Drosophila melanogaster: one gene and its partners. The protein of the gene in region 1 interacts with the protein of each later gene in a pairwise test. Each region holds a gene or a part of one and is shown in the gene's direction. Other genes may lie near its edges. The genes, in order: LSm7, CG8204 and SmD3.

Region 1 (5,670 bases):
CTATAAAGAATTTCACTATTTATCAGTGGGCATGTGAATTGCATTTCAGCTGCTTCCGCTTTACCTTTAAGATACAAAACTAGCACATGTGTTGGCATATCACATTGATGGAGATTACTTTTAGGGCCAAGACAATGCGAAACCTTGCTTTTCCCTTCTATCGAGTTCTCTATGTGTTGAGGTAAAATGTTTTAAATCAAATTAATTAAATTGAAAACCGCCGTTTCATTTGTTTTGTTGCCATTAATTTTTTTTAATTAAAAATTGTACAGACATATATCATACTATATGCTAAAAAAAGTTTTCTTTTCTTTTTAATGTTGTTTCGTATTGTGTGATTCTCGTAATCTGTTTGCTCTCGTACGCTGTGGTCGTCTAAACGTAACTTCCGCTGTCGCAATTTGCGATCTGCGCAGAGTAAATGTATAAAAGTGTCCAGTTTGGAAAAATGGAATTCTGTTAGAATGCTGAATGCATTCTCTTAAAATGCAGTCGAAATTGGGTCAGGTTTTTTTATGTGCAATTACATTTATTCTTTCATTATTTTTCTTTTTTTGGAGGAAATTGTCTTTTTTACACGTCCTCGTTTCAGTCCGTTGTGCTTGTCATTTCCTGTTAATCAGTGGAAGTCGTTTCCGTCACGGTCTGTTTATTTATATTGACTATGGTTTCTATAACTATGATAAGAACTCACTTCCTGGGCCTTCGACATGGCTGCGGAGACGACAATCGAGTTAGCCATGCCACTGCTGCTATTGCTACCCGTGGGCGAGATCCCGGCCAGCGACGGGGGCGGCGGAGTGGTGGGAATCGACGTAGAGGGGCCACCATTGTTGCTGGGACTCTTGCGACTTTGTGGATTCGCCAGTGAAGCCAAAGCGGCCGCCAACCGTGCTTGTATTTTCGGTTGGCGCGCGCGCAATTCTTCCAGACTCAGGTCCTCCTGTGGATGCATAATCTTTGTGGTCACAGCAGCAGCGGAAGTTCCGCTTGCCGCCGGTGGAGCTGGAGGTCGCTGCTGGTGTTGCTGAGCATCTGGCGGACCACTTGGTGGTGCGCTGGATGCGCCACCAGCATGATTGGTGGTAGGCGGAGCACTTATGGTAGCATTACTTTAGCAAAAAGAAGAAATAATTGATTTACGTTAGTTAAAAACAAATTCTTAGGATTAAGCCTAATAATAAGTCATTTGACTTGCTTCACAACTATGTTTAATAGGGGAAAACCATTAAAAATGTGCCAATGTGAACAATTATTTGGAGTAGAAAGTATTTCACCTAAAATACCCCCAAAACTGAATTTACATACGAATCGTTTAAAAAAAAAAGATTATTAACAGGGCTCTACGTCTAACTGCTAGCTTTAGAAAAAAAAATTGGAAGGATTCTTATATGGTCTTCCCCTAACGATGCTAACCTGTACGCTGGAAATGTTGGCTTTTGTTGAGCCATGGCGGCGGCGTGGTGATGATGGGCCGCCGCCGCAGCAGCTGCCGCCGATGTTGTGGCCATGGCGGCTGGAAACAAAGGACGCGGAGGCATCATGTGCGGCATCATGGGCACTGGATACGGAGGCAGTGGCGGCATGTGCTGCATCATGCCCATGCCGTACTGCCCCAGCATGTGCGGTGGCATCATGTTCGGGGGCATCATCATAGGCGGCGGTACACTCATGGCATCTGCAATGAATGTTGTATAGCGATTTTGTATACAATACAGTTTGCTGATCACTTACATTCTACTTTCTTTTTGGCCACCGGTTCATCATCGTCCGAATCAGACTTGCCACCATTCTTCTGACGTTCGTGATCCCTGAGATCCTCGGCGGGAATGCCGTCCATGCCAAAGATTTCGACTTCAATATTTGAGCGATTGGGCAGCGAGTTGGGGACCTTGTCCACCGTTTCCTTGTGCACCTGCATGCAGTGTATGGATAGTCCGGGTCCGGTGTACAACTTCTTGTGGCAGATGTGGCATTTGAAGTGCTTGGCCTTCTGGTGCTGCACAAGGATCTTTTCGTCATCGAACTCACGGTTGCAGTACCTAGTTTTTTGCGTTAAGAGTTAAGGAAAATTCACGGGGATGCGGCGTTGTAGCCAGTATGCATATACATGTGTGTGTGTATCTACCCCCAACCCAATACCATTATATAAATGTGTGTGTATGTGCAGATACAGCGAGCGGCACATGCAGTGAAAAAATATTTATATCTTTGTTTTGCGAAAAGGATACCAGCACCAGGGTTTGGAGGCCTTCTTCTTCTTGCGTCCCATGATCCTAAGGTGGCTTTAAAACACTTAAATGTACAAAATCGATCCGGTAATTGGTAGAAGATAACAATCTGTTGTACTAAAAATTGCTCTGTCGTGGAAAACAAAATGGAGAGCCAGTCAGAGTGACCAGCATATCGATACAAATAAATGAATCTTATCGATATCTTAAACCAATATAATAATTATTATACAAATAAATTGATATGTTCGCCTCAATAGCAAAAGGTAAGAAAATAATTTCACAATGATGACAGTAGAAATAAGAGAACTTTGTTGTCATATTTTTCAAATAACATTAATTCTTACATATGTTTATTCCATTATTATCGATTATGTACCTCAAAAAGCGCGGCCCATAAGATTACTTCACCAGCGCCATCTGCTGGCTAGTAGCGCCTTATTTGGTGTATTTCTAAAAAAATATGCTTTGGTCACTCTTTACCAGCCGGCATTTACCAAAAACAGAATAATGGCAGATAAAAAGGTAAATTAAATAGAATAACTACATTGTGGTGCTTAATCATCAAAATCGTGACTTGTCAGGTGGGTGGCAACAATGACGGTAAGGAGAAGCGCCGCAAGGAGTCCATTCTGGACCTCTCCAAGTACTTGGAGAAACAGATCCGCGTGAAATTCGCGGGCGGCCGCGAGGCATCCGGAATCCTCAAGGGCTACGATGCGCTGCTCAATCTGGTGCTGGACAACACGGTGGAGTATCTGCGCGACTCGGATGAGCCCTACAAACTGACCGAGGAGCAGACCCGCAGCCTGGGACTGGTCGTCTGTCGCGGCACAGCCCTCGTCCTCATTTGTCCGCAAGACGGAGTCGAGAGCATCGCCAATCCGTTTATAACGCAATAGTCCAAGGTTTTGTGGCTGGGATGCGTTCCAGAATGTAGACTAAGTACAAAGCTCTTTTGGAAATCGGTTTAAATATATTTAGCGGAGACATACATACGTATAAATTAGTTCTTAAAATCTAATCAGGCCGCAAAGTACCACGTTTATGAGCCCGCGAAATTGTTTAAGCTTCTCCATAAAATTCAGAGTGTTCCGATTTTAAATTAATGCACTTTATCCTCTTCAGGTATGTTACGAAGTTATCTACGGGTTTGCTTACGGTCAGATTTTGAAAGCTGAATCATCTAAATATGCGTAATCCAATTTATAAATATTAATTTTTCTAAACAATTAAAACCTAAAATTGTATCAATCTTATCCAATTACTTATGGAACGCTCCAAACATTATGGATATATCAAAGCGCCTTGCGCAGAGCCCTATAGTGTCAAGCGGGCTATCACCTTAGTCCAAGCCGAACTCGTTGCGAATCCAGGGATACTGGGCAGGACACTCCATGCAAGTGTAGAAGAATCGATCCTCTTGCAGCACCCGACTACGCACCTTGCACACATTCGGCGTGTTGCAGACCTGCTCGTGGGGATCCAAGTCCTTCGGTTGGCAGTGCCAGGACTCGAATTGGTGCAGCTGGTTGCTGGGCGTGGGATGGCGCATCCACTGAATCGCCTGCTGGTTAGTCACGAAGAACACATCCGGCAGCTTTTGCAGATCGTCGAGGAATTTCTAAATGATCAGGAAGGAATGAAGATCTAGTATTATGGGTAACAATTCGAATATTCACCAGAAATGCATTCAGATAGTCGACTTTCTTGAACCAAGTCGAATGGAAATACAGGCCAAATGGTGCCCTATTGCTGAGGTAGTGCCTCTTGAAGTTGTGCGTGAGCATTCTGTACACATCCTCGCCGCTCAAATGCGGCGGACACGTGTCCACCATGCCGCACATATACTCGCCCACTTCCAGTTGGTTCATAACCAGCTCCCAAATGCCCGGATAACTCCTAGACGGGCAATTCTGATTTACGCCCGTGCAGCTGTGCGGCATCTTGTAGTCCAAGGTGTAGGGCCACAGAGGAGGATTCGAATGCGGCGCAACCATGGATGAATCGTACACGAAGCCAAACTCCTTCATCATGAGAAACTGTCGATTCCAGCCGACGCGCAGAAAGGGTACTCTCATGCCACGAATCTCCTCCATTCGTACCGCTGCGAACTTATTGATTATATTCGCCTGGCCAACCATCTCATCGAACCAATCCTCAATTGTGGCATTCTTGGACCACCACATCTCTGGGCCACGATGCCTTTAATCAATAAAAGTGAAATTTCAATTTTAAATAATTTACAGGCTGATCAACAACTTACGTTACTGAGTGCACTGCGATCTCGTGACCATCGTTCCAAAGCTTCTGCACATACTGATAGTTGGTAAACGGATGTGAAACGTAGAATGTGCCCTTAATGGGACACCCGTTGGGGTTTCGCCTGTGCTGTGTGAACAAAACCTTGGAGAACAGCTCCCAGTTATCGTGATTGATGGCATCGTCGAAGGTCAACAGTATCATCTGCGGAACACTCTGTGCCGGAAGACTGCCGGGTATCTGGGTGCCATCCTTCGAGCAGAAGCACTGCGGCAAATGGCACTTTCGCGGATCACAGGCACCAGCCGCATTCGGATCGTGCTCCACATCGCACCAGCCTTCGTCGGAGCCGTCGGGACAGTCTACCGAACCATCGCAGAAGTACTCCTGCGGCAGGCAGGTACCATCGGCGCAGCCCAACTGGTATTCATCCGCACAGTCGGCCATCTCCAGTAGTGGTTTTGGAGCCGGCGTCTCCGCGCTGACATCGCAATTGTCCACATTCGCCTTGAAGTCGCAGATCTGACGCACCACATCGAAGAGCAATCCCTCGGAGCACTTGAATTCGAACACCTCACCGTCGAGGCAGAGGAAATACTTGGCGCACTCGCTGTTCGTCCAGATCTTGTGGACCGGCCTGTTGGGGTTGCGGTAGAAGCGTGCATCTTGCATGCAACTGGCTGCGCCGGAGGTCGAGCGACGATGCCGAGTTTGGTTGCCGACTATTCCATCATTGTCTGCAAAGCAGGCACACAAAAAAAGAAACTGGGTGTGAGATAGCCGTGTGTAATTAACAAGGAGACTGATTACTGATTAATGCATTGACCCAAAAACGAAACCGCTCACGTCAGCCCAAAATTAGCCGCTTGCAGAAATATTTTTGCTTTTTTCCAGCTGGATACCAATCACGCACTGAAATGGGTGGTGCGCATAGTTGCCAATAGTAGTCAACTATTACGGAGCAAGACGACAAAAAACAAAAAAAAAACCCACGTCGCTACTTCAATTGAAACGAAAAGTTGGACAAACTTCAAGGAAATATATGTATATATGAATGTGTGTAGGCCACTTGCTCGCTTAGAAGTGCCTGAATTCCGAGGACCGTTGGACTTCGATGACCTTTTTGATTGGCTCGAGGCCTCAATTAACATTATATTAACCATAATGTGATCTTAGA
Region 2 (5,783 bases), on another chromosome or scaffold:
TGCTCCGTCCGTTGCGTGCCAAGTCATAAATACCCCGGCGGACCCGCTACTTGCCTCCTCCTCCTTCTCCTCCTCCTTGTGCTCCCCTCCCTCACTTCGCGTTGCAACTTCTAAAGCGGCCTGCAGCTTTTTAATTAAGGCACCAAGCGGCAAACAAAAAAAAAAGAGTAGCCAAAGTCAAAATAAAAACGTGGCGTATGTAACAAGTATAGGTTGCCCAAGGCAGCGATTAGTTGCTCTAACAATTCCAAGATCCGTTTCACTCATGGGAAAAGGATTTAGAGGCGCATGAGCTTGATTGATACAAAGCAAATATTTTCAAAATTCCCACTATACACTTTATTAAATCAATATCAGGCATTCTATTGAAGCTTAAGCTAAAGCTTCAATATTCTACATCCATATTCGGCTAACTCAGCCTGTTCCATCAAACTCCGCCAATGAGTTGAGCTACCTCTTAGGATGTGCAGTGTTATCTGCAACATAAGCTCGAAGAGATGGGGCAGGAGGAGCAGCAGGATCGGGAATGAGCAACTAGAGCCGCAGCGGCGGAAGACAAATGGCCAAGGCGCGAAGTGTTTGCAGGCCGCTGCCATCAATCAAAGCGGTGGACTCTAGGACTGCATCTTTTCGTCATGCAGTTAGATTTATGAACCTCCGGAATCGCTGTGCCTCCGTCCATTCTCGTCCCGGTCATATTGTAAATCATTTCCAAATTATTTAGTCGCTCTCGTTTCATATATATATTCATATTTTTGGCGCCTTTGCTTTTGCTCGTCGACGTCGAATGTGGCACGTGATTGCGTTATAAATTACAAGCCATTGGGATTCATATAGTCCTCGCAGCCCTTCCATTCCATCCCTCCGTGCATCGTGGTCTCCTGCTGATAGTTAATGTTCCCCGGCATCCGTTCGGCATTTCGAATTATTTTCGAATCCATTTGATGACCCACTAGTCCACTATCTCCAATACTCCGGTGAATTCCAATCGAATATGCTTGCAGATGTCGCGTTTGCATGCCTGCTATCACCCAATATGAATCCAACTACCTGGAAGGACTACAGGCGATCATCGCTATACGGAAAATAACCATTATTAAAGATTAAGAATCTATGGGACATACAATCTCCACTTGACATGTTGCATAATAGATATATTTATAGGGATTTAAACCTTTGCTGTGCAACACTTTGTGGTTAGTATGATAAAAAACTGCCTCCACAAGAACCAAACCTTTTTGAAAAAAGTACATTCGCGCTAAGGAAGTTCGACTGCCAAAGCCATATGTGTTGCATGTAATTTAATATTCATTATATGCACTATAAACGCTGTGCCACTACGATTGCATGATCTGTCAATCTGCCCAATTGCCAGGACTATCTGCCCCCTTATTTTTCCACCTTCCAGTGTTTTCCTCGTTTGGCTTTTCGGGCGATAAAAACGAAGCGAAAAGTGCCGCTATCTATTAATATCGCTTTTGGCTTTTTCGCTGGCGGCTAGCTGGTAACTGGTAGTTGGTAGTTGGTAGTTGGTATTTGGTAACTGGGAAAAGCTGGGAATGAAAAACGCTGAAAACTCCTAACGAACGACACCTGCCCTCGGAAAATGCCACTACTGCACCCCGCGAGAAACTTTCGCCCCATTTGGTGGCGTGTGTCTCGCTTTTCTTCTTGCTGTTTGCATTGGTCGCCCCTTTTCCTTTTGGCGATACACTGCTGCTGATGTTGCACGAATGTTGTAAATCAAAAGTAGGCGAGTCACACGAAGGGTCTTCCTGCCCCCCCGAAATCCCTGCCACCGCCGATAGCCGCTGCTTGCCAGCGCCTCTGCTGCTGCGCCTATTTGACTGGCAGGCCGAGCGGATAACGCTGGCAATTATCGCGCTTGTGCCTCACGAACAGCGGAAGCGGCAGAGGCGCCACATCATGTTACCCGGCCCGATTCCCCAGACCTTCCACATCCCCAAACTCTTTGTTAGCCTGCATCCTTTGCTTTCTTTTGTACCACTCGTTTTTCTTTGTGCAATCCAATTGGTAGCGCTCAGAAAACAAAGCAAAAACGATTGAAAATAACAACAACCAGTCCCGGCTACAAGTCCCCCAAAATATGGCAACAGAAACAAGAAGAAAAAAAACGATTCATATACGAGTATAGCCATGCACCTAGACCACCCCATCCGGTCAGTCAGTCAGTCATTGAAGTCATTTATTGCCACCAAAAGTTTTTCGCTGTTTGCCATACCCTCGCAGAGGTTATTACGGCTCAGACTAGGAGCAGGACACGAAGGATCTCAATGGGTGTAGTTATCGTATACAGGACTGTAAGAAGTTATAACCCAATGACATTACCTATAGGACTATCATTATTATCAAATCTTAATGACACACATCTATATGTGTATATTTCATAGCTGAATATGGCCATATAAATGAGATGTTTCTCTTGCAACTAAACCTACTTTTTAGGACTATATATTGTGCATACACATAACACGTTTTCATTAGAAAGAAAGCTTAATAACAAAGGGCATTCCATGCTTCGGTTAACCAATCGAGCCTCACTGTTGTACTTATTTTTACTTCTGGTTGTACTGTACTTGTCTTTGGAGCTGGAGCGGATCTGAACGACTCCTTCCCGGGAAGGACCGTTCCGTTTCAGTACGTTCCGTGTGCAGGATATGTTTACAATTTGCGGACACGCCGACCGTCATTTGATTGCTCCCCTCGCGCTTGTCGAATTCTCGGTTAATTCGCCAGGTGGCTTCAGACTGCGCATTGCCATCGGCGGCGGGGGGAAAGGATTGGGAGGCTTTGGGGCGGAAAAATGGGAGGGCAATGATAAGCGTTCCTCGTTTGTTTGCTCGGAAGCCTCACGGAAGATGACGTGCCCGGGATGGCCCATAAATGAGACTGGCCAAAGCAAACAGACCGGATACACAGGATACATTCAATCAAATAAGGCTATTCGTAACCGGAAAAGGGCAGGACGACTCTATGTCTTCCTCAATCTGACCAAACACTCCGCTAATCGTATGGTTAATAACTAAAATACCTGTGGATAATCTTTAAACGTTTTCAATATGTAAGTCAGTGAGATACAGATACAGTAGATTGAAGCTTTCTGACTATATAAAGTATTTACTTATTTATGATGAGCAAAATTGAATGTTGATGATGAACATTTTATTTGTTCCAGCAAATTGTTCAAATTCAAATTAAAAGTAATGGCGCCAAAGATAGAATTCATCTGTTGACGAAGGCTGGCAGCTACAGAACAATCTAACTAAGCTATGGGATTCGTTTCAACACACTCGTCGTAGAACTCCACTAGTTTTGTTTTCTCACTAAATTAACATGCAGCCCCGCGATCTTATGCGCATTTTAATATTATTCTGCTTGCGTTTTGCATTTAACTTTTTGATTGTTTACCTCCAAAAACATAACGCCGTTCCAGTGGAGCAGAAACGGCTTGGAACCCTCGATAGAGGCAAAAGCTGGAGGCTATAAAACTCGCACAGCTGAGTTTTATTTTGCACGCGACATTGAATTTGATGAGATGGAAAAATGCATTATTTGCGTAGATAACTTGAGAAAATACAAGTGCAGCAAATGCTCGGCACCCTAGTAAGTAGCTATTCGAACAGTTCACTACGGAGATAATAAATGTCGCAAAATGTAGCTGCTCTGTGGCTTGTTATAAGACACACAGGGATTCGCCCCAATGTGCGACAAGGGAGTCCGACTTGAAAAAGACTGAAGTTGGCTACCAGGAGGAACCTACGCTTCATGTGCCCTTCCCCACCGACGACACAGTTGCCGCGGAGAAGCTCCAGCAACTAGGTAGGTGTTTAAATTCGCAATTATACACATTTCTCATAGTATGATGGTTTCCGTACAGAAAACTGCCAGGAACTGCGTAATTTGCTCCACAATCCACACCTGCGTTCGCTGCTCCAGCAGATTGATGTGGCCATCAATGCCCAGTCGGCCATGATGGCCGCCATGCAGGAGCCACTCTTCGTGGAGTTCGCTAATGCCTGCCTTCAAGTCGTCGAACCGATGACGGATGCTGAGCGCACTGAATTTGAGTTGTACTCCTGAATTAAGTTGACACACAGTCTCAATAAAACTAAGCCTTTATTTTGTAACTAATAGTACTGTCAATCCTTGGCAGCTTCTAGAGGAGCTTGCATTGAAGAACTCCTGGAAACTTCTCATTGAAATCCGCCGGTAAGGTTGAATCTTTTCCATAACCAGGGAAAACGTACAACTAATTATTTGGCTCGGCCATTTAAAGTTATCTATCTCAGCTGGCATATCAAACTAGTCATCAGTCTACAGCTTCGTTCCTTGGCAATCAAACTCAATCAAAGTAAATTGAAACTGGATCCGAGTTAAAAGTGATTTTTGGATGCTTCATGTGCAACTTGAAAAGCCTATGTTCCCCTTGCACTTTCCAGGTCATGGGGATGGGATCCTGTAATGAAAAATATTAGAAACGAAAGCTAATATAAGTTGTGAAATACTTAGACCTCATTAGACATGAGATACGTGTTTAGTTCCACATAAATATTAAGTGCTGTGGTACGGTTTTCTCCCAGTTTCTTCGCATCGAATGTGAACTCCTTAAATCCGAAGGTGCAATGGTATATACCCAGGACCTCGTGTGTGTTTAGGTTTTGTATTAAGGTATGAAACTTAATTTCGTCCACACAAACCGAATTTTGTATATAAAATTCATTGACATTAATGTGAAGATGCTGATACGCATGCATACCAAAATTAGCCACCTTTAGGGTCTTAATAGCCACATTTAAACCGTAAGTTTCACAAAATATGGATGTATTTTGGCTTATCTCGATCATATTTATAGTGCTTCTCTTCGCAGCTATGAGAATCTCTCTCAGAAATCCGTATCTAACGTGACCACAAAGAAATAGCTTCTTCAAGTGAGTTAGACGTTCCAGTTTCGATAGGAACCACACCATCATTTCCTCCTGGAAGCACTGCAGCTGCTCTAGGTTTCTAATCCCTTTCCAGGGCAGTTCTGTGTTCGAAATCTGGTCAATATCGAAGATACCCAGCTTCAGGGATTTTATTTTTCTGGTTTTCAGGATCTGTATCAAGTTGGTGACATTGAATTTGCTGCAGTAGGAGACCGTGAGGTTCTCGAGAAACTCGAATTCATCAAAGTGTTTGCCAGTAAACTTTCCATGGGGGCTAAAAGTTGTCAGATTTGGAAAAGTTTTCAACATTCTTGGCACGTCCGCATCGTTTAAGTTAAACGAATGCGTGGAAAATCGAAAATCTTTAAGTTTTGGAAAACTACAGCTGGTAAGTGTTTCGAAGTTAGATCTATTATTCATTTTGAGCCGCAGAGTGCTGAGGATTTGTTGAGTACTTTCCAGGAAGAATAGCAAATCCTTGTCGCTCAGCTGCATTTCAATCAAGGATATATATGCACATTTGTTATAAGCACGCCACACATACGGCATTAATTTCTTAAACCGGAAATGAAAGTCTTTCAGTTTTAGTTGGGTCTTCAAGTCGAGATAACTTAGAATTATCATTAGAACATCATCGGGCAGACATAGTAAGCCAGGCTTGGTATTCTGCAAAGGGCAAAAGAAATTAGGAAACTTGTATACTTATATTTCTGCTATATTGTTGCATTGCGGTACCATAAGATCGGTGTTTATCATTGTCGGTCTATATTCGTATGTTTAGCTAATATCGAGTCCAAATAAAACAATAAAATTATAACAAAAGTTTTATCAACATTT
Region 3 (6,244 bases), on another chromosome or scaffold:
GTGGCCCGGCTCCTTGTGGCTCTGCCTGGCCTTTCGCTCAGAGTGATGCGCTTGATGCTCCTTAACGTGGGAACCACCATGTTTCAGACTATCATGGCCCGAATGCCTCACCTCCTGGAGCTTTTGGTGGTGGTGGTGGTGCTGTTGCGACAACTGGCGCTTGTGGTTCAGATGATGGGTTCGCTCATTGTCCTCCAGTGGCTGCATGGCCATGGCCACGGCCACCAAGATAGTGGCAAAAACGATAATCTGCAGCGGGCCAAACATCCGGAGTAATCAAGGTGAATCGATGGGTATTGATAGTAAATTAAATTGAAGCCACTTTCATATCTGAACCGGCGATTAGATTAGGTCCGCCCCTTGGAACCACACACTCACCGCCTTCAACATGATAGCTTCGGTATAGGATATGGACTTCAATGCCTTCTTCTTCTTCTGTTTCTGCGATGCAAAGCTCTCGGATCGTGTAAACCCGGCGACGCTCCAGTCTCGACTGTTTTTCGGAGACTCTTCCGCCGCCGTTTATATCGTTATCTCCTCATGCGAGTGCCCACAGCCCACAGCCCCTGGCCACCATATCACATAGATGGGGTATATATGTAAATATATTCGGCATGTTTTATCGTTCATTTAATGGGCAGACAGACAGACGCACAGTGGAGTGAACAGCTGTTGAATGATTTTCGGGCCAAGATTAGCTGGGAAAGTACTCAAACCTCACAGTTCTTTTCAAAAATATTACCCAAAACTTTACAATTTAATCGGAAAGAGTAGTCAACTTGAGATACTATCTATCAGGCTCATCAAATCATAGATACAGATACAAAGCATAACTCTCTGTAAGTTACTATATATGGATTGGTTAATATTCTTTAGAAATGTAGCTATGCTTTTGAATCATTGAAGCCAAAAGTGCAATAATTACATTTAAAGCTTAATGTGATCATGACACTTTGATTTTTAAACTGGCTCTTCATTTCAATGAATGACTGCTGAAATCCAATTGATATTGGCGATGATGTCAAATCTCACGCTTTTTTTTATTAATTTAGGAGCCCCCGTTTTTCCAATAACTACTTATCTTCAAGTGACAAACTGTGCAGACTTATCTCTAACAATCGTATTGGGTCACTTTTTAAACAGTAGACGAAATACATATAAAATCTCTCTTATCTGCGAAAGGAAGGTGAGGCAATTGGGTGTATAAATTTAATCATAAGTCTCGACCAAGTTCCACTCGAGATACTTTCAATAAACAATAATAATGCGCACTAAACGCGAGCGTCGTAAACGAAATAATTTAATAATCCGGCCGACAATTCAATAATTTTGTTAAGTCATATGTTTTATTATTGGAATCAAGAAAATGATACATACAAAGTGGTATAAATAAAAGAACTGCTTTCGCTTGCTTGCTTGCGGTGTGGAATCTATTGATTAATAAGTTTATTAATATTGGATATAGCGTGTATGTGGATCCTTTTTGCTGATCTATGTAATTAGCTTCTATGCATATGCGTTTCCCTTTCTATCCTTCAAAACTTCTACCTCGCCGTTCTCGTCGCTTTCGGCGTACAAAAAGTGAATAAAAATATATTGAATATTTTTAAGTGCGAACAAATTGGGATTACAATACTTCATATATAAGCTTAAACATAAAATATATAGAAAAAACATGAAGAAAATATATATGTTGATTAGACATGAAAACATAAATAAAAAATATTGATTCACGAATAAACTTAGGATTAATACATTCCTTTGTTTTGTTTTGTTTTTTTTTTGACATTTTTTAGTTTTCTACTTTTTTTTACGTTTTCGTTCGATTTTTGTTGTTGTTGGATATAGTTTAATATAGTAATTTGCGATCAGGCTCTTAACGTGGCTGGCCATAATTGAAAGTCTACCAAAAATGAAGCCGCTCCGAAGACAATTTTCAAAACGATTTTCGACTACATAAACAACGCGAAGATTCAAAAAGGATTGATTTGCTGATTTTCACTGAACACATATTGAGCTCAATATGTCATTGTATCTACGGCTGGCTAATAAAAGTTATTTGCGGAAACTACGAAACAGAATATTGGATTGCTACTGATATTACTTCTTCTTTGTTTCGTTTCTGTGGCGAAAATCGTCCCCTTGCCGACGAACTACTCCTCGATGCTGTAGAGGAAGTAGTAGTTCTCGTTGTCGTTAATGGCAGCCGGCGGTGCCTGCGGTGCCTTCCTGGACAGCGGCTCGAAGCCCATGAAGAGGAACGCCTCGATGAGGCGAGCTCGATCCGGCTGATCTTTAGGCATTACCATAACGATGCCGTCCACCTCCAGCTTCTCCTCGGCGAACTCCAGAAGCGAGATGAAGGTCTGCTTGGAGCCGGCCGGAGGAAGGTCCTTCGGTAGAGCGACATACAACAAGTTGTTGACTGGGTTCAGAATCGTATTCCAATTGGTGTACTGGTCCTCGGTGACATGCAGCTTGATGGTGATCTGCACCGGCTGGTCGTGCTGCAAGATCTGGCGCAGCACTTCCTGGCAGTCATCGTCCGAGCACAGCGAGTGGATGTCGGGCTGCGACTCCAAGTCGGAGCAATCCGACTGGGAGGACGACAACGACGACGCCCGGGAGCTGGCCTCGTACAGGCTGCCACCAGCCGAGTCGACCGAAGACTTACGGCTGTAGCCTACACGGAAGGAATTAACACATTTTAGCATAATAAGTACTTAAATGGTTAGTTATTATTACTCACCCGTCAAGAGCGATGCCCTATCGTGATCTGTTCTGTGGTGGACAGGGACATCAGGACCACCACAGAGGCCCTACGCCGAGAGAGATGCGGTAGGACTCCGAGGACATGGTCGTGGCGCAAGACGAAGTCGAGATGGTGCGGAGCTTGCCGTCGGCAATTCCGCTGTCATTAAATTCTCTTCTAACGAAGCCACTACTAAACACTGGGTCGCTGTGGAAAAAAAATTGGGTATTTAGTCAAAAAAACCCCATATCGAACTGCGATGTGCCTGTTCGATTTTGTAGCGCAACTCCATCTGTTGGAAAGTTTATATCCCCTTTTTAATGGCAAGCATATAGCGAATATTCCCATGTTTTTATAAAGATTATTTCCCATTTACAAATTACTTATGTGAATTATGAATTGAATTTATAAACCCGAAATCTTTACCACAACATGGTGTAGAGTAAAACTCAATTGGTAACTGAACGTCGCAAAAGCTGCTAACAAACTGATGGCCACGAAGGCAGAACGAAAGGCTTATCAGCGAAGCGGCGACAATTTAATTATTTCGCTTTTATGACGCTAACAAATTGCAGTTGTTTATTTTAAAGCGATAAGATACGCCCGCGCGCCTTATCGGCAAACCGATAAGCTGTTTCCGATAGTCACGCAGCGCATGCAGCCCTGCGCTCACGCACCACCAATTTCACCACAAGATGGCCGCCGGCAGCTGTCAAAGCGGGAGCGAGCACGCAAACACATACACTCGCAAACACTCGGCATAAACGCTTGCACAAAGAAAAACGGAGAAAAAATTTAGCGGTTTCGGTGGAAAAAAAAACAGTGAAAAATATATAGTTGAACGAACAAGAACAGACAGCAACACACCAAGCTAGCGAACATGTCTATCGGAGTGCCCATTAAAGTTCTGCACGAGGCCGAGGGCCACATAATCACTTGCGAAACCATCACCGGCGAGGTGTACCGCGGCAAACTCATCGAGGCGGAGGACAACATGAACTGCCAAATGACCCAGATCACGGTGACCTACCGAGACGGACGCACCGCCAACCTGGAGAACGTCTACATTCGCGGCTCCAAGATCCGATTCCTTATACTGCCCGACATGCTGAAAAATGCCCCGATGTTCAAGAAGCAGACGGGCAAGGGACTTGGTGGGACGGCGGGACGGGGCAAGGCGGCCATTCTGCGCGCACAGGGTGAGTTGGGCACTTTGGCCCACACACACACATACACATTCACTTTTTGCACGGACTGCCTTTAAAAACAAAATATTTTCTATGCTCTCGTTTAACTTCTAAATTTAACTAAAATATTTGCTATCCCAATTTAATAATCCAAATACCATACAATTTTTATGATAGTAAAAAAAATGGTAGTAAAATTTATAGAATTTAATATGTATAAATAGTGCTACAAAAAATATATTAATGCAGGGTTTAGTTTGTTTTAAAAACTGAGCTGATAGTTTTCGTCAAATCATATCCCTCCCATTTAATTCATTAATTTCAAAATTTAAAGTATTAACGTATGGGTAAAATAAGAAACATGCTAAGGTAGTAAGTTTGTGTATATGTTTATTTTTAGAAAGCAAAAACTAAAAAAAAAAATGTTATAAAGCCATGTGCAGTGAAATCTAGAAATGAATTTTGTTTTTAAAGACAGTCGTGCAGTGTATGTGAGGCCCTCAGCGAAATGCAATTATTAAAAACGACATTTCCCTTACAGCTCGTGGCAGAGGAAGAGGCGGACCTCCGGGCGGCGGAAGGGGCACTGGTGGACCGCCAGGAGCTCCCGGCGGCAGCGGCGGACGCGGAGCATGGCAGGGAGGACCAACCGGCGGTCGAGGACGCGGCGGCCTGTAGGAACTGCCTACTGAACAACGCATTTCTATTCTCTAAGTTGCGGGCATCATATTATTAGCGGGCGGGTCGAACTTCTCCAGATGTTTTTTGTAAAGTATTTATCGGGCAGAGCAGCCGAGAATACACTTGAAACTTGAATTTGAAAGAGGCAGACGTTGTTTGTTGTCTAAGTAAAGTAAGCACCTGAAAGGTGGGAAGGGATTAGACACCATAACCAGGGGGACGCTCACAAGTTTGGCTTAAAATTAAGCACTCCAATTCGATTCATTCGATCTTATAATCGTCGCCTTTCGAATGTTATACAAAGAGAGCAATTCCATGACAGTATTACAATCGGTCTTAACTTGACTGTCGACGGATAGCTCTCTTCATTTCACAATTCGCGGAGGATCTGAAAGCGGAAATCTAAGCTAACACCTCAACGGACAGGACACAGTGTTAGGCCAGACGAACTGAATGTGGAACTTGGGTTTAGTCGTTTGGTTAGTCTCATTGCCTCACAGCGCATCGTCGAATATTATACAAAGAGAGCAATTCCATGACAGTGATATTAAATAGTTTCTGGACTGTCGACGGACAGCTCTCTTTATTCACTTATTCGCATTTGGATTCGATTTGGTTCGTTCTAGGTGTTAATCAGACATTCAATGTGGACAGCACAGATACATACAGATACCTATATACTATATAAATGCTTTCCACACATTGTACATACATATGTACATTTGTGTATTGTTTGCCGGCAGACTACGTGCGAAATATGCCAGGCATTTTGTTGTTATGTTGGTTTCCTTTCTGCCAAGCCAATTAAATCAACAAACTGCGCACTTGGCAGAGCATTGTGAATTGAGCGAAATAGAGGCCTGAATGGGAACAGTGACCACCAGCAGCAGCAGATGGATTGGATGCATGTGGTTCAATGCCTAATGAATGCAATTTATGGCTGTGTCTGGGGGTGGGGGGGTTTGTTAGAGTAATAATTCCCCGAATCGATGGCACGTGTGCAAGGCAATTGAAAATGCTTTCGCAATTAATAAAAAAGATGGGGCTATGCTGACGTACCACAAGATTTTCTGGTTCTCGTTCTGAATCTTCTGGTTATCTGGCTGCGCCACCATATCGCTAGACGTCGTCATTGCCAAGTTAAATATTTGGTCTCCGGTTGAGATTTATCACAGCTGCAGTCTACTATCTGTCTCCTGGTATGTGCTCTTTATCTTTTATCACAGATTGCGTTGCTTCGGTCGGTCGGTCCTTCGGCGGAGCTTGGAACTCACATCGAAAAGATGTGGCGATTGGATATCTGTGTGTTATGTGGCGGCCCGGTTTCCGTGCCTCTCCTCCACTGGCGATGTGGAGACTGCTCGCTGATGATCTGTGTGGTGCTGTGCTCTGGGCGTTTGTCTGGCGACTGACGACATCCAAACGGTGGCGGCATCATTTATCTATCTGATTAAGTAGCAGCGACTAGGAGGCCTCACGATATATCTACATACACGTACATACATACATACAAATGTATAATAGCCTAGTTCTATCCGACAGATATGCAAATGTGCCGGAGAGCACGGGTACAGTCGACCCGGTCGGTCAGGGGATGTGGATCTGAATCGGGGTGCGGTGTGAG

Evidence for each region.
Region 2: the proteins of LSm7 (region 1) and CG8204 interact in a two-hybrid assay, tested with the Drosophila melanogaster proteins (one large-scale study listed by BioGRID).
Region 3: the proteins of LSm7 (region 1) and SmD3 interact in a two-hybrid assay, tested with the Drosophila melanogaster proteins (one large-scale study listed by BioGRID).

Annotation. Positions count from the first base shown.
Region 1 is NT_033779.5:16,740,132-16,745,801, reverse strand, and holds LSm7 (uncharacterized protein), read left to right. Parts: upstream 1-2,701; 5' UTR 2,702-2,741; coding exon 2,742-2,756; intron 2,757-2,815; coding exon 2,816-3,133; 3' UTR 3,134-3,176; exon of another isoform or gene 3,177-3,359; 3' UTR 3,360-3,487; downstream 3,488-5,670. Other genes in the region: BuGZ (Bub3 interacting GLEBS and zinc finger domain protein), read right to left, coding at 695-1,112, 1,417-1,678, 1,735-2,042, 2,238-2,272; ChLD3 (chitin and LDLR binding deacetylase 3), read right to left, coding at 3,577-3,855, 3,914-4,436, 4,498-5,230.
Region 2 is NT_033778.4:15,571,507-15,577,289, reverse strand, and holds CG8204 (uncharacterized protein), read left to right. Parts: upstream 1-3,298; 5' UTR 3,299-3,556; coding exon 3,557-3,624; intron 3,625-3,679; coding exon 3,680-3,840; intron 3,841-3,898; coding exon 3,899-4,101; 3' UTR 4,102-4,146; downstream 4,147-5,783. Other genes in the region: CG30466 (uncharacterized protein), read right to left, coding at 4,364-4,477, 4,533-5,612.
Region 3 is NT_033778.4:12,165,245-12,171,488, forward strand, and holds SmD3 (small ribonucleoprotein particle protein SmD3), read left to right. Parts: upstream 1-3,486; 5' UTR 3,487-3,632; coding exon 3,633-3,951; intron 3,952-4,313; exon of another isoform or gene 4,314-4,480; coding exon 4,481-4,617; 3' UTR 4,618-4,759; downstream 4,760-6,244. Other genes in the region: CG34232 (uncharacterized protein), read right to left, coding at 1-267.